Linked DNA regions of Macaca mulatta. The protein of the gene in region 1 interacts with the protein of each later gene in a biochemical or structural test. Links are inferred from orthologs where the notes say so. Each region holds a gene or a part of one and is shown in the gene's direction. Other genes may lie near its edges.

The links.
Region 2: of the proteins of MYB (region 1) and NLK, one has a biochemical effect on the other in vitro, tested with the Homo sapiens proteins (2 studies listed by BioGRID, with this or other methods). The link is inferred for Macaca mulatta from reciprocal best matches to the Homo sapiens genes MYB and NLK.

Annotation. Positions count from the first base shown.
Region 1 is NC_133409.1:40,273,044-40,279,194, forward strand, and holds the start of MYB (transcriptional activator Myb), read left to right. Parts: upstream 1-2,699; 5' UTR 2,700-2,906; coding exon 2,907-2,929; intron 2,930-4,534; exon of another isoform or gene 4,535-4,670; intron 4,671-6,151. UniProt on the Homo sapiens protein: Transcriptional activator; DNA-binding protein that specifically recognize the sequence 5'-YAAC[GT]G-3'. Plays an important role in the control of proliferation and differentiation of hematopoietic progenitor cells.
Region 2 is NC_133421.1:36,728,871-36,734,784, forward strand, and holds the start of NLK (serine/threonine-protein kinase NLK), read left to right. Parts: upstream 1-2,529; 5' UTR 2,530-2,560; exon of another isoform or gene 2,561-2,752; 5' UTR 2,753-3,658; coding exon 3,659-4,116; intron 4,117-5,914. UniProt on the Homo sapiens protein: Serine/threonine-protein kinase that regulates a number of transcription factors with key roles in cell fate determination. Positive effector of the non-canonical Wnt signaling pathway, acting downstream of WNT5A, MAP3K7/TAK1 and HIPK2.

The DNA of each region.
Region 1 (6,151 bases):
ATTATGAGATTTTTTTGCGATATTTCTTTAAGCTCATCAGCTATCATTAGTGTTAGTGTATTTTATGTGTGGTCCAAGACAATTCTTCTTCTTCCAATGTGGCCCAGGGAAGCCAAAAGATTGGACACTGGGGCTCTAAACATTGAGGATAACTGTTCTAGTGTTGGCCAACTACTCTAGTGTTGGCCTGCAGACTCAATACAGTCTTTGAGCTAAAAACAGTTTTTACATTTTTAAAGGGTTGTAAAAAAAGACAAAAAGAAAGACAGACAAGAAAAGACACAGAAGAATATGCAACATAGCCTACAAAGCATTTACTATCTGGTCTCTTACAGAAGAGTTTCCTGACCCCTTTCTAGTGCACTGCAAATGAAAGGCTGTACCCAAATTTAGCTCCAGTGCAGCCCTGCCACAGCTAAAATAACTGATGTAGTTAGCAGATCTTAAAAAAAAAAAAAAGTTAGGAAATGTGTAAAGTTGTCATCTAAAAATACTTTTGTAATAATTATAAGTGGAGAGAGAAAATGTATAAATACAAACATTCTGTAATGAGTTTAAAAATGTAGTTTCATCCATACAAGAATTTTGATAACTCCATTTGATTCTGTTTTTCCATAAGCTTATCAGATAGCAATATATCCAACATTAGCCTAATAAAATTACTGCATATGTATTCTTTATTGGACTATGCATATTCCCAAACATATTATTGTCATACAACTGAGGGAAAAATGTAAAACTATATCCCAAAATATCTGGGAAATGAAAAATTATAAATTCTCAAAACGATACACAGGAAAATGATTTACAAAGAAAAAAAAGGAAAACTGAACTTAGTATCTTTCTACTTTAAAGGGGTTCAAGAATTTAGGAGTAGTTCCACCTCCTAAAATCTTGGAAAAGAGGCTATGAACTCACTTCGCAAAGGGTTCAGATACTCACATTGTGTCCAAGAGACTCAGCAATTGGGAACCTTGCCGGTTAGATTCATAAAGCAATCCCAAAGCCAGAATGCATTCCTTTAGGGGTGGTTTCTAGATGTTTACTCTAGATATTTTTAAAAGATTTTGTTTATTTTTGATGCGAAGAAAGAAAATTATTATAGAATCTAGAAATAAATATTGGCTTTAAAAGTATTAATTTGACTTGTCCTTTGTAATTGTGATCCGAAATACCTCACAGTAATTTTGTTTCAGTGTTATTTTCTTCTCAGGAGGAAAGGAATGTTAAAACCCTTACTAGCAACTAACACTTGATAAAGATTTAAACTATATAATAATTTTAAAGAAAGTCTAAAACACCAGATAGTCTTGAAACCTCGCATGCTTCACCGTTTAATAAAATCATGACTCATTTTAGTAAGAACATGCTTTTTTAGTAAGAAAAAATGCTTTCTGAGCTAAGTTTGAACTGCTGGGGCACATGGGACACCCACAAACCCAGTCAGCAGAAGTCTCAAACTCCTAAAAGATTAAAGGAAAAATACATTAGTGTGTACAGAGAATGAAAAAAAAAAAATCCCCAATGGTTCTAATCTATAAACGGAAGTAAAACTAAAACTCCCCTAAAATCCCCCCAATCATCAATCCTTATAAATTCAGCACTTATCTTCTTCCTTTACTTCTGGAGACCCTCATTAAACAACACGAAAGCCTTTGCTGATTTTATCTCGTAAAATAGAGCGCTCAAATGACACTAAGCAGGGATACCGACCCCCAAAATCACAAACTGTTTTACTTCTAAAACCACGCATGCAAACGTAGGGTTTCCTGAGTTCTGCTAGGGGCGGGCTCTCTGGACCCCCGAGTTTTTTTTTTTTTTTTTTTTTTTTTTTGCAGGTGTGCAATCCAGGGCGTGTGCGCTGTGCAGGGAGGGGAGCTGAGGTGTGCTGTGGGCATCGCCTGGGCCGGGCGGGGCGGGGTGGGTGGGGCCCGGGTGTGGGCTGGGGAGAGAGTGAAGGACATGTGACAATACGACGGTGGCGGCTGTAGGATCCGGGAGGGGAGTGAAAGCTCCGCCGGGGCGCTCCATTAGAGAGCGGTGATAGCTGCCGCCCACTTGTATTGAAGCGTTCTTTGTCACTAACAAGTTAAATTATAGATGTTATTTATTTAAGAAGGAAAAAAAACTCTAGCCAAACATCCTACGAACACACATGCTCCCATCCCCTACTCCTCCAACTCCTAATTTCCCCGTCTCCAGAGGGCACAGTTGTAAACCTTGACGAAAATCCAATCTTCTGTGCAGGAATTTCCCCCCACCGCTTGCCGCCCCCGCGACCGTGAGTGGGAGCTGGAGGAGCTCGGGTCCCGCTGCCCTGGAGCACGCGCAGCCGGGCGACCGCGGTGCGGCGGCCGGGGAGGAGGGGAGGCGGCGGGACTTGGCGCGGGTCGGCCCCGCCGCGGCCGGGAGCGGGGTTTGCGCAGGAAAAGGCGCCGCCGCGGCCCCCGGCCGCCCCTCCCCGGCCCCGGGCTCCCCGCCCGCGCGCCTCCCGGGCCTCGCGGCGCGCTAGGCGCACCCCGGCGGCGCGAGCGCCGAATGGGAGCTGCCGCCCTGCCGGCCCGGCAGCCCAGCGGGCGGCAGCCAGGGCGACCGCGGAGGCGGCGGGCAGGGCGCGTGCGCACTGCAGGGGCGCCAGATTTGGCGGGAGGGGGAGTGTCCAAAGCTCTTTGTTTGATGGCATCTCTGTTTACAGAGTTTACACTTTAATATCAACCTGTTTCCTCCTCCTCCTTCTCCTCCTCCTCCGTGACCTCCTCCTCCTCTTTCTCCTGAGAAACTTCGCCCCGGCGGTGCGGAGCGCCGCTGCGCAGCCGGGGAGGGACGCAGGCAGGCGGCGGGCAGCGGGAGGCGGCAGCCCGGTGCGGTCCCCGCGGCTCTTGGCGGAGCCCCGCGCCCGCCGCGCCATGGCCCGAAGACCCCGGCACAGGTAACGGGGAGCCCGGCGGGCGGTCGAGGGCGGGGGCACGCGGGGGCGCGCGGGGCGCCAGGCTACTGGGAACAGGTGGGAATTCGTTCCGGGATCGTCTGAGGGGCTGTCAGACCCTGCGAGGACCTGGAGCCCCTGTCTCGGCAGCAGAAGCAGCTCCAGAGACTGATGAATGGAAGAGTCTTTGCGGGAAATGTATCCGGAGGTTGGGAAGCACGCCCTGCGGCTCATTTTGCAAGTTGCATGGGGATACATTTTTATTTAGGGGGAAAAAGAAAGCAGCACGTTCCAGCCAGGGACAGAGCGGTGCCCTCCAGCCCCGGGGACCCTACCAGGTGCCTGGCTTGATGCCACGGGTGTCGGCGACGGATCCGCAGCGTAATTGCTGGATGCATTGAGATATGTTTGGACTTGGAAGTGCAGAGCATATGGCAGATACAGGGAAAATGCTGGATTGTTTAGTAGCTGCAGGTAGTTCATTTAAATTTCATTCATTCTTTATGGAGGCGAGGACCAGTGTCAGCTGACAGGCGGCTGAAAAGCAGATTTTAGGGGGATAAAGGGGTCTCTACTTTTGCAAATTGTCTTGAGACCTGGTTTTGGAGGTTCGAACCATTATTCTGTGAAAGGCTTTTATTTCCACTGCAAACATTGCATGCGCACCTACACATGCCGGCGTCGCACATGTCACTGCACTTAGGCAGGCTCGCTGGGAACATGGATGCAATCCCCTCACATTTTTGGCCGGACAGATGGGAAGAGGGAGAGGAGGAGGAGGAGGGAAATCCTCGTCCGAACTGTCAGTTGCTGGCTCCCCAGCCTCCACCGGCCTCTGGACTTCCCCAGCAGCACACGCTGGGGGCTCCCTGCCAGCGGCGGGTGCTGGGGCTAGCTCGGCGGCTGTTGCAGTCGCCACTCGGCTCAAGGGGACCGAGGCCGGCAGCACCTAAGGACGCTGCCGCGCAACCGGGACGCGATCCCCGCGAGCTCTGCCCCCAGTCGAGAGGTCCCTGCGCGGCGCGCACACGTGGGTGCGACTGAGGTCGCCGCGCCTCCTCGCGCCCTCCTTCAGCCGCCTTAGGTCGCCCCGGCCGAGGCGCGGTGACCGGACGGACCCTCGCGAAGGAGTTCTAGGGAGAAGTCCGTGGAGGCAAAGCAAATCCTTTCGCCTTTCCTTAGGTTATTTTATTTTCTCCTACTGGTTTGTTGTTGAGCCTGCGGGCGCTGGTCCCCGCGCGGCGCTGAGAAGTTGCAAAGAGCGTGGGTGGAGACCCTGCAGCAGCAGGCGGGGAGCAGCGCTGGGGCTTGACTGGGCTCTGAGGACTAGAGGGCGACTTGGGGGAGCCCCGGGCTCCCTATGCCTCCCCCGGCGCCTGGTGGCGCGGGGCAGGTGCTGCCCTCGAGGGCTCCACTTTTCGCCTTTAGGACTTAACAGTACAGCTACTGGGGTCGTCTGTATTTTTTTTTTTTTTTTCCGAGACCTGAAACTGGCAGCGGGAGGAGTGAGTCGGGCAGAGGTGCTGGGAGGAGGCGCGGCAGAGGCTCCGCGCCCCGAGGTCTCGGCCGCCCCCGCGGGGCGGGGCCGCGCAGGTTCCCTGAGGCTCCAGGTAGCCCAGAGGGGAGGCGGCCGGGAGGGGCGGGAGCCTTGAACCTGCCTCAGGGGGAAGAGAAACCCGACTGCGGGCTCGGAGCCGTTTCTTGCAAGGGCGAGCGTCAACTCGGCAGGGATTATATTAACCAGGTCAGCGAAATGAGTTTGAACCCCTCCGAATCACAGTAGCGGCCACAAGGCACTTCCTCCCGCTCCCCTCCCTCTTCCCAACCCCCAGCACCTCTTTTCTTTTTCGTTTCTTTGCACGGTTTGTTTCCTTGACAGAATGTAATATTCATAGTTGTACTCTTGTAACCACACCGGGTCTAGCAGGTGGGGAGTAGAGTGCATCAACCCTGAAATCAGCCTTTGAAAGTCCTCTGACTGTTGGGTCTGAGATCTCGTCAGAGCAGATAAAGCAAAAGTTATTTCAGGTTCCTTAGAAGAAATTAATCATGCTACTAGGACGACTTAGAGCAAGCAAATCGCATGCAAAGTTCAAAGGCGAGCCTGGGTGCCCAGCCTGGCAGGGAGACTCAGGAACTGGGCGCGTGAGCAGCCCCGGACTCGCCCTGCTGCGTCCTGGCCCCTTCAGGTCCCGCAGAAGTCATTCTCCACCTTGCCCCCAAGACCTTGGTTTTGCACATCTTTGCTCCTGTGCTTAGCTTTTAAGAGGCACGGAAAGACATGGGGGGGTCATGTATTAGCGCTGGAAAGTACCTTAGAAATAGGATCCAAGCAAGCCCTTATGTAAAGGCGGGGAACTGAAGTCTTGAGAGAGAGGAAGTGATTTGTCCAAGTCATACAGCAAGGTGGAGGCTAGACTAGAACCTTTGCCTCCAGAACCCTAGTCCTGTTGATTCCCGTGCTCTCACCTGACGTTGGCTGCCCCCTGCGGGCGGCTGAATAGGTTGCTTGTTCCTGGGTTGTTAAAACTGCTGCCGAGAGAGAGAGGTGCTCAATGACTGCTCTGAAAAATGTCCTCAGTTCTGAAAATGTGACCTCTAGATCCAGCCAAACCTGAAAAGTTAATTCGACTTGAATCTATGACTGCAGTTTCAGATTCCTCTGGTTTTCTTGGTGTCTCTCACATTTCACAAGGGACTGCATTTGGGGGCTTTCCAAGGAGTTCCCTGTGAATCTTTCAAAAGATGCAGGCTTACACCTCTGGGCTTTATAGCTTTTTTTTTTTTTTTTTTTTTTTTTTTTTTTTTTTTTTTTTGCTTTATCATGTTGTGTTTTATATTTTTGTAATTCTTGTTCAGAAGTTGTTTAGTGCCTCCTGTTGACAGTGGAAACAGAACTAGGCTATTGTTTCAAAACTAAATGAAGGGAATTATTACAGATTATAAATATATATTTCCTGGAGTTTTATTTGGTGGTGGTGATGGTATTTTAAATTTGGATTACATCATGTCACCATACAACCTGGGCTATCAAATTGTTGCTTAAAATAATAGCTTTAAATTATGAGAACCCCCAATTCAGGATTTTTGGTAAGCACTTTAGCTTGACTTGTAGGGGGCTGGTAATATGCATATGTGAGTTAGTTTGGGAAGACAAAACCTGTAATGAATATAACTTTTCTTTTTTAAAAACTATTTACATTATGACATGGCTTTATATCATTG
Region 2 (5,914 bases), on another chromosome or scaffold:
CTCAACAAGCACTTAAAATATAGATATGAGGGAGGCAGTGTCATGGAGATATACAACAGAAACATATACTCTAGAACAGAGTTAGAACTTTCCAGGAAAAAAAGTAAAATTTACATGAAGACCTGAGGGATGAATTAGAGCAGTGAAGGATGGGCGGGAAGTGTTTTGGGCTGAAGATATGCATGAAGGCTTGAAAGCATTCAAGGAGCTGCAGGAAGTTCAGAATGTCTGAAGTGTAGAGAGTGGAGGGGAGAGATAAGACCCTTGAGGTAGGTAGGCGGAAACCAGATCATGCCAGGCTATTTAGGGTACAGCCAGCCTTTTTTTTTTTGACAGGATCTCACTGTCACCCAGGCTGGAGTGCACTGGTGGGATCTCAGCTCACTGCGGCCTCTACCTCCCTGGCTCAAGCTATCCTCCCACTTCAGCCTCTTCAGTAGCTGGGACTAGAGACATGTGTACCACTAATTTTTGTATTTTTTGTAGACACAGGGTTTTGCCACATTGCCCAGACTGATCTTGAACTCCTGAGCTCAAGGGATCCACCTACCTTGGCCTCACAAAGTGCTGGTATTACAGTTGTGAGCCACTGCCCCTGGTCTCAGATTTGTATTTTTTAAAATTTACTATGCCCCCAGAGGGGGATGGATCAAAGGAGAGCTAGCTTGTAGGCAGGGAAATGGTTAAAGATGTTAGTGGTGTAAATTTGGGTAAATGCTGTGTGACTGGGAAGAAGCAGAAGTGAGAGGGATTTAAAATTGTTTAAGACTTGATGATTCAGCTTGGGCAACATGGCAAAACCCCATCTCTACAAAAAAATACAAAAATTAGCCAGGTGTGGTGGTGTGTGCCTGCAGCTACTTGGGAGGCTGAGGTGGGAGGATCACCTGAGCCCAACAGGTAGAGGCTGCAGTGGGCTGTGATCACGCCACTGCACTCCAGCCTGGGCAACAGAGACCATGTCCCTTCACCAAAAAAAAAAAAAAAGAAAGAAAAAAAAAAGACTTGATGATTGATTGATTGGAAGGGACAACGTGGACAGGCAAAGGAGGAATTGAAGATGACCTCCAAGTTTCTGAGTAAACTATGCAGTTTCGGTAGGGATAAGGTTCTGTAAGCTTATTATTTCACATTTTAAAAGAAGGGTAAATTCAGATAAATCAAGTGATGTAAAGGAAAGATGCTATTTTAGTAAGATTTCAATGACAGAAACTTACTTGATAGAAAATATGGGAGAGGCTGGAGGCGGTGACTCACGCCTGTAATCCTAGCACTTTGGGAGGCCAAGGTGGGAGGTGGGAGGATCTCTTGAGCCTAGGAATTTGAGACCAACCTGGGCAACATATTGAGACTCTGTTTCTAAAAAATTAAAGAATCAGCCGGGCATGGTGGTGCACATCTGTAATCCCAGCTACTTGGGAAGCTGAGGCGGGAAGATTGCTTGAGCCAGGAGTTGGAGGCTGCAACGAGCTAGGACTGTGCCACTGCAGTCTAGCCTGGGTGACAGAACGTAACCCTGTTAAGAAAGAAAGATGGAAGAAAAGTATTATTTTTGTGGCCAAGTTTACTTTTTTGTTTTAATTTGCACCAACAACTTTATCATCTGTTGACAGTGGAGTTCTGAATGCTGGAGATTCCTCCTCTTTTTGCCAAGATCAGGATTAACCATGGAGAGGACCGGCCGTAGACTATGAACTGTCAGTCTACTGAATTTCTTTTGTGACTGTCTTCTTGTTGAGTGACCTTGGACCTTGACTTTCTGAAGCTCAGCATTCCCTTTTTCTTCCCCTATTTTTGCCCCACACTTTACATCTTAAGTGGTATATTAGACGGCTCGGGGATCGGTGGACCAGTGGTGATTTGGGGTCCGCCTTCTTCGTCTAGGTCCCGCCCACTTTGAGACCCCACCCCTTTCCTAAGCCCCGCCCCTGGAAGAGGTTGTCTCGATATGACAGCAAATTCTCCACAATCCTGTCCTAGAGGAGCTATAAAGGGTGGGACTTACATCAATCTTTTTTTCCATTTGTCAGGTCAAGTGTCTATCTGGCCCAGGTGCCCGCATACTTCATTTTCAACCCAAGGATTGGTTACTCTGTTCTTTGCCTCTGGCTCATGATTGGTTCTTTCATTCCGCCCCTCTCTTCCAGCTTTTGCAGGCGGGATTAGCACGCAGCTTCCTGCTCCTGCCAAAAAATAAATAAATAATAAAAGAAGAAAAAAGAGGAGAGAGGCGAAAGAAAAATGTCACAAAGATCTTTGCTTTTTCATTGGCTTTAAGCCGTGTCGGTCAAGCCAAACTCTGCCTTTGATTGGTCTTTCTATCTGCCCATCCCGGATCGGGGGCGGGATTTCCCCAGAAGACCCACACCTTGTTGCCACTGGCCGAACAGTGCGCCTGTCTGAAGCTCCTGGCCCAGGATTGGAGGCGGTAGCGGACAGGTGGGCGTGGATTGGCTAGGGCAGCCGGTCAGTGCAAGGCGGGGGCGGGGCCTCGGCGGCTGGTTGCGCGTGTCCGCCGCTGGCTCCGGTCTATCCGGCTTTGCTAGGGGAGGTGAGTCCGGCCGCGGCGGCACCGGCGGCTGAGGAGGCGGCGGCTGAGGAGAAAGCGGCCGCGGCGGCTGAGGAGAAAGCGGCCGCGGGGACGGAAGCCGGGTGGGGGGGAGGGGGGGAGACGGAGCAGCCTTGAGCCCTGAGGGGCCGTCGCGCGGGGGACCCACCCGCTCTCCCCCCCAACCCTCCTCAGCAGAAGCAGCCGGCGGCGGGGGCAGGAGTCAGCCCGCTTCCGACCGTACTCCGCCCGCCTCCCGGGGCTCCTATTCTTTGGCCCCGGGACCCTAACCTTCTCCCGGGGCGGTTCCCGCTGTCTAGGCGTCCGAGCGCTGCCCACATCTTTCATTCTTCCTTGCACCTCCTTCCCTTCACTTTTGCCCTACCTCTCTTTCTCCTCTCTGTCCTGCTGTCGCCTCCTCTCCTCACTCCAGCCTCCTTCCCTGGCTCATTCTGCCCAGGAAAGTTTAGAACCCCCGCCCCCCCCTCCCCAATCAGGTCAACCTGACTAGGAGTAGGGGGAGATGTAGGAAGGCCTGAGAGTTCGAGGGGGGGGGGACGCTGGAAGCTGGTTTCCCAGAAAATTTCCCCCCATCTTCTCCATTTAGGGTAGTGGGAATTTTTTTTAATCCTGTTTTTGAGGAGGTGGTAGGTGTTTAGAAAAGGATGTGGGAATGGAAGGGGTAGATGATTCAACCCTCTTTCAAGATTCCAAGGGTGGTGTGTTACCTGATCCTTTTCGTGTGTGGAGTTCAGGGGGTCGGGAGGTTTGGCCTTTATTCCCACATTCAAAGTTGGAACCTCCCCCAAATTAAGAATGGAGTTTTAGTACCCACTTGTGGCAGGAATCCTGGGGGGAAGGGGTCCTTTTTTCCTTTTTCTTTTCTTTTTTCCTTTTTTTTTTCCTTTTGGCAACCCACACCCTTCCACACACGCTCACCCCAAAATTAAACACCAAGATCCTCTAACTTGTTTGGATTGACTGATGAAGACATAAAGCCAGTTACGCTCTATGTTTTTTGAGGTGGAGTGAGTGGTTTTTCTTCATTTTTAAATGGCCAAATGACAGCTTGACCCAGTTTGCTTTCCAATCAAAGGGCATTTATTTTGAATGTCTCTTTGTGGCGCAAGAGCCAACGCAAAAATGATGGCGGCTTACAATGGCGGTACATCTGCAGCAGCAGCAGGTCACCACCACCACCATCACCACCACCTTCCACACCTCCCTCCTCCTCACCTGCACCACCACCACCACCCTCAACACCATCTTCATCCGGGGTCGGCTGCCGCTGTACACCCTGTACAGCAGCACACCTCTTCGGCAGCTGCGGCAGCCGCAGCAGCGGCTGCAGCTGCAGCCATGTTAAACCCTGGGCAACAACAGCCATATTTCCCATCACCGGCACCGGGGCAGGCTCCTGGACCAGCTGCAGCAGCCCCAGCTCAGGTACAGGCTGCCGCAGCTGCTACAGTTAAGGCGCACCATCATCAGCACTCGCATCATCCACAACAGCAGCTGGATATTGAGCCGGATAGACCTATTGGATATGGAGCCTTTGGTGTTGTCTGGTGAGTATCCAAAGAAAAACACAACCTCTCATGGTTTCTTCTGATGGTTGTGATTGGGTGAGTGCATCCCTCGTGGTTTTCTCCATGCTGACCAAGGTGGAGCAAGCTTCTCAACCCAACTGTAGGAAGCCACCTTCACTAAAGTGGTAATGCATTGGCTGTCTAGGCCTAATGCATTGGCTGTCTAGGCTCATGGCAAGTTTTGGTGGAGCACCTTCTCATGAGCAACACACATAAGTTTGCTGTCTACCAAACTTTTCTGTTAGAACCTAAGCAAGCCACTGAACACAGCATCAGTAGATGAATGTATGGAATACTAACTCCTACAAAGACCTTGGTCATTTCGTGTGTTTGATTTAGTTTGGATCGGTTGCCCAGTGGCATTAAGTGTTAGCAACTGATCCAAACTGAATTCCTTTATAATACTCTTGTCATTACGATATACTTTGCATAACTACTTTCCTATCCTTCTGTCTTTTCACTCCTTATTTTGTGATCTTGATCTCGAGAAGAAAGATAGGATTCATAGTTGAACCAGTTAAGATCATTGCTTGAGTGGTTTATTTTAAACCATGGAGCTACAGTTGGGAAGTATGTAGCTGTAGCCTTTTGATAAGAATGCATTAAATATAGCATCACACATGAGTACCACAAATGAGGTTAGTAGACTAGCTATGCAGTGGCCCACATTCAGTGTAATGTTTTAGTGTCATTTAGTGCCTCTTAAGTTCCTATTATCTGTTGGTCAGTTGCTGTAGTAGGAAATAATACTTTTTAAACAAATGACACTACTTTTGCTAGTGCTAGGACATTTGTAAAAGCCTAAGGGCTTCTTAAATATAACATTTTGGTCTATTTGGTCTAACCTTAAAAAGATTAGTAGTTTATAATAAAATATGTTTATTCCTGTCAAAACTAGAATGAACTGGGTTTTCTCCCAAGGACTAATGATTACACTTTGGATAGATGAATTGATATTTTCAGTGCATTCAAAAACTGATTCTTGTTACTGTCTAGAAAAGCCCCCATTACCATAGGAAAATGAACTCTTTGGAACTGGCCCGGTAAATATCTCCTTTCGTTATTGTTTTTGAGGCTAAAATTGATGGGCGCATCGTTTATGCATTTTAACTGGCCATCTTATTTATATTTCAGATTTGACAATCTAGGCTACTAAGTGATCTCATCCATTTTTTAAAAAAGCTAGTAGAGTCCAGTATTTTCTCAGCTAATCCCCAAGGAAGTTTCTGCTGCAGCGCAGCCCTTTCTCCAAAGTGTGTGGGATTCAAGGTGGGAAAGAGTATAGCTGGTAATGGTGCCTCGGTCATTCTGCTCAGGGACCCGCCTGTTCCTGCCTTCCTCTGTCCCTTCCACAGAGTATCTAAGAGGTTTAACTGTGAACTTCCTATTCTTGCCTAACTCTTGAGGATTTCCAAGCTTTGGTTGGGGGATGGAGCAGACAGGAAAATGGTTGTTCCTTGGTTTAAATTTTGTCATTGATTTACTAATAACTTTTAGCACTTGTTTGGAGCCTGTTAGATGTGGATGCTTGCTGGCTTTTTTAGTGCCTTACATACAATGCTAAAAACTAGGGATACTGAAAGGGAAATGGGTTGCAGCATTCTTGAATATATTCAAAAGGCATTTTTCACTTACATTTCTATCAAAAAGTGATGTGACTTGTAGCAGTTTTAACTTAGGTGGCAAGGGAAGATTTTTAAATTTTATTTATTTTTTTAAGGAAGGGGGCAATAAAGAACTGGAGTGCTGAAACATCTCACACAGCAAACGTTCTGCT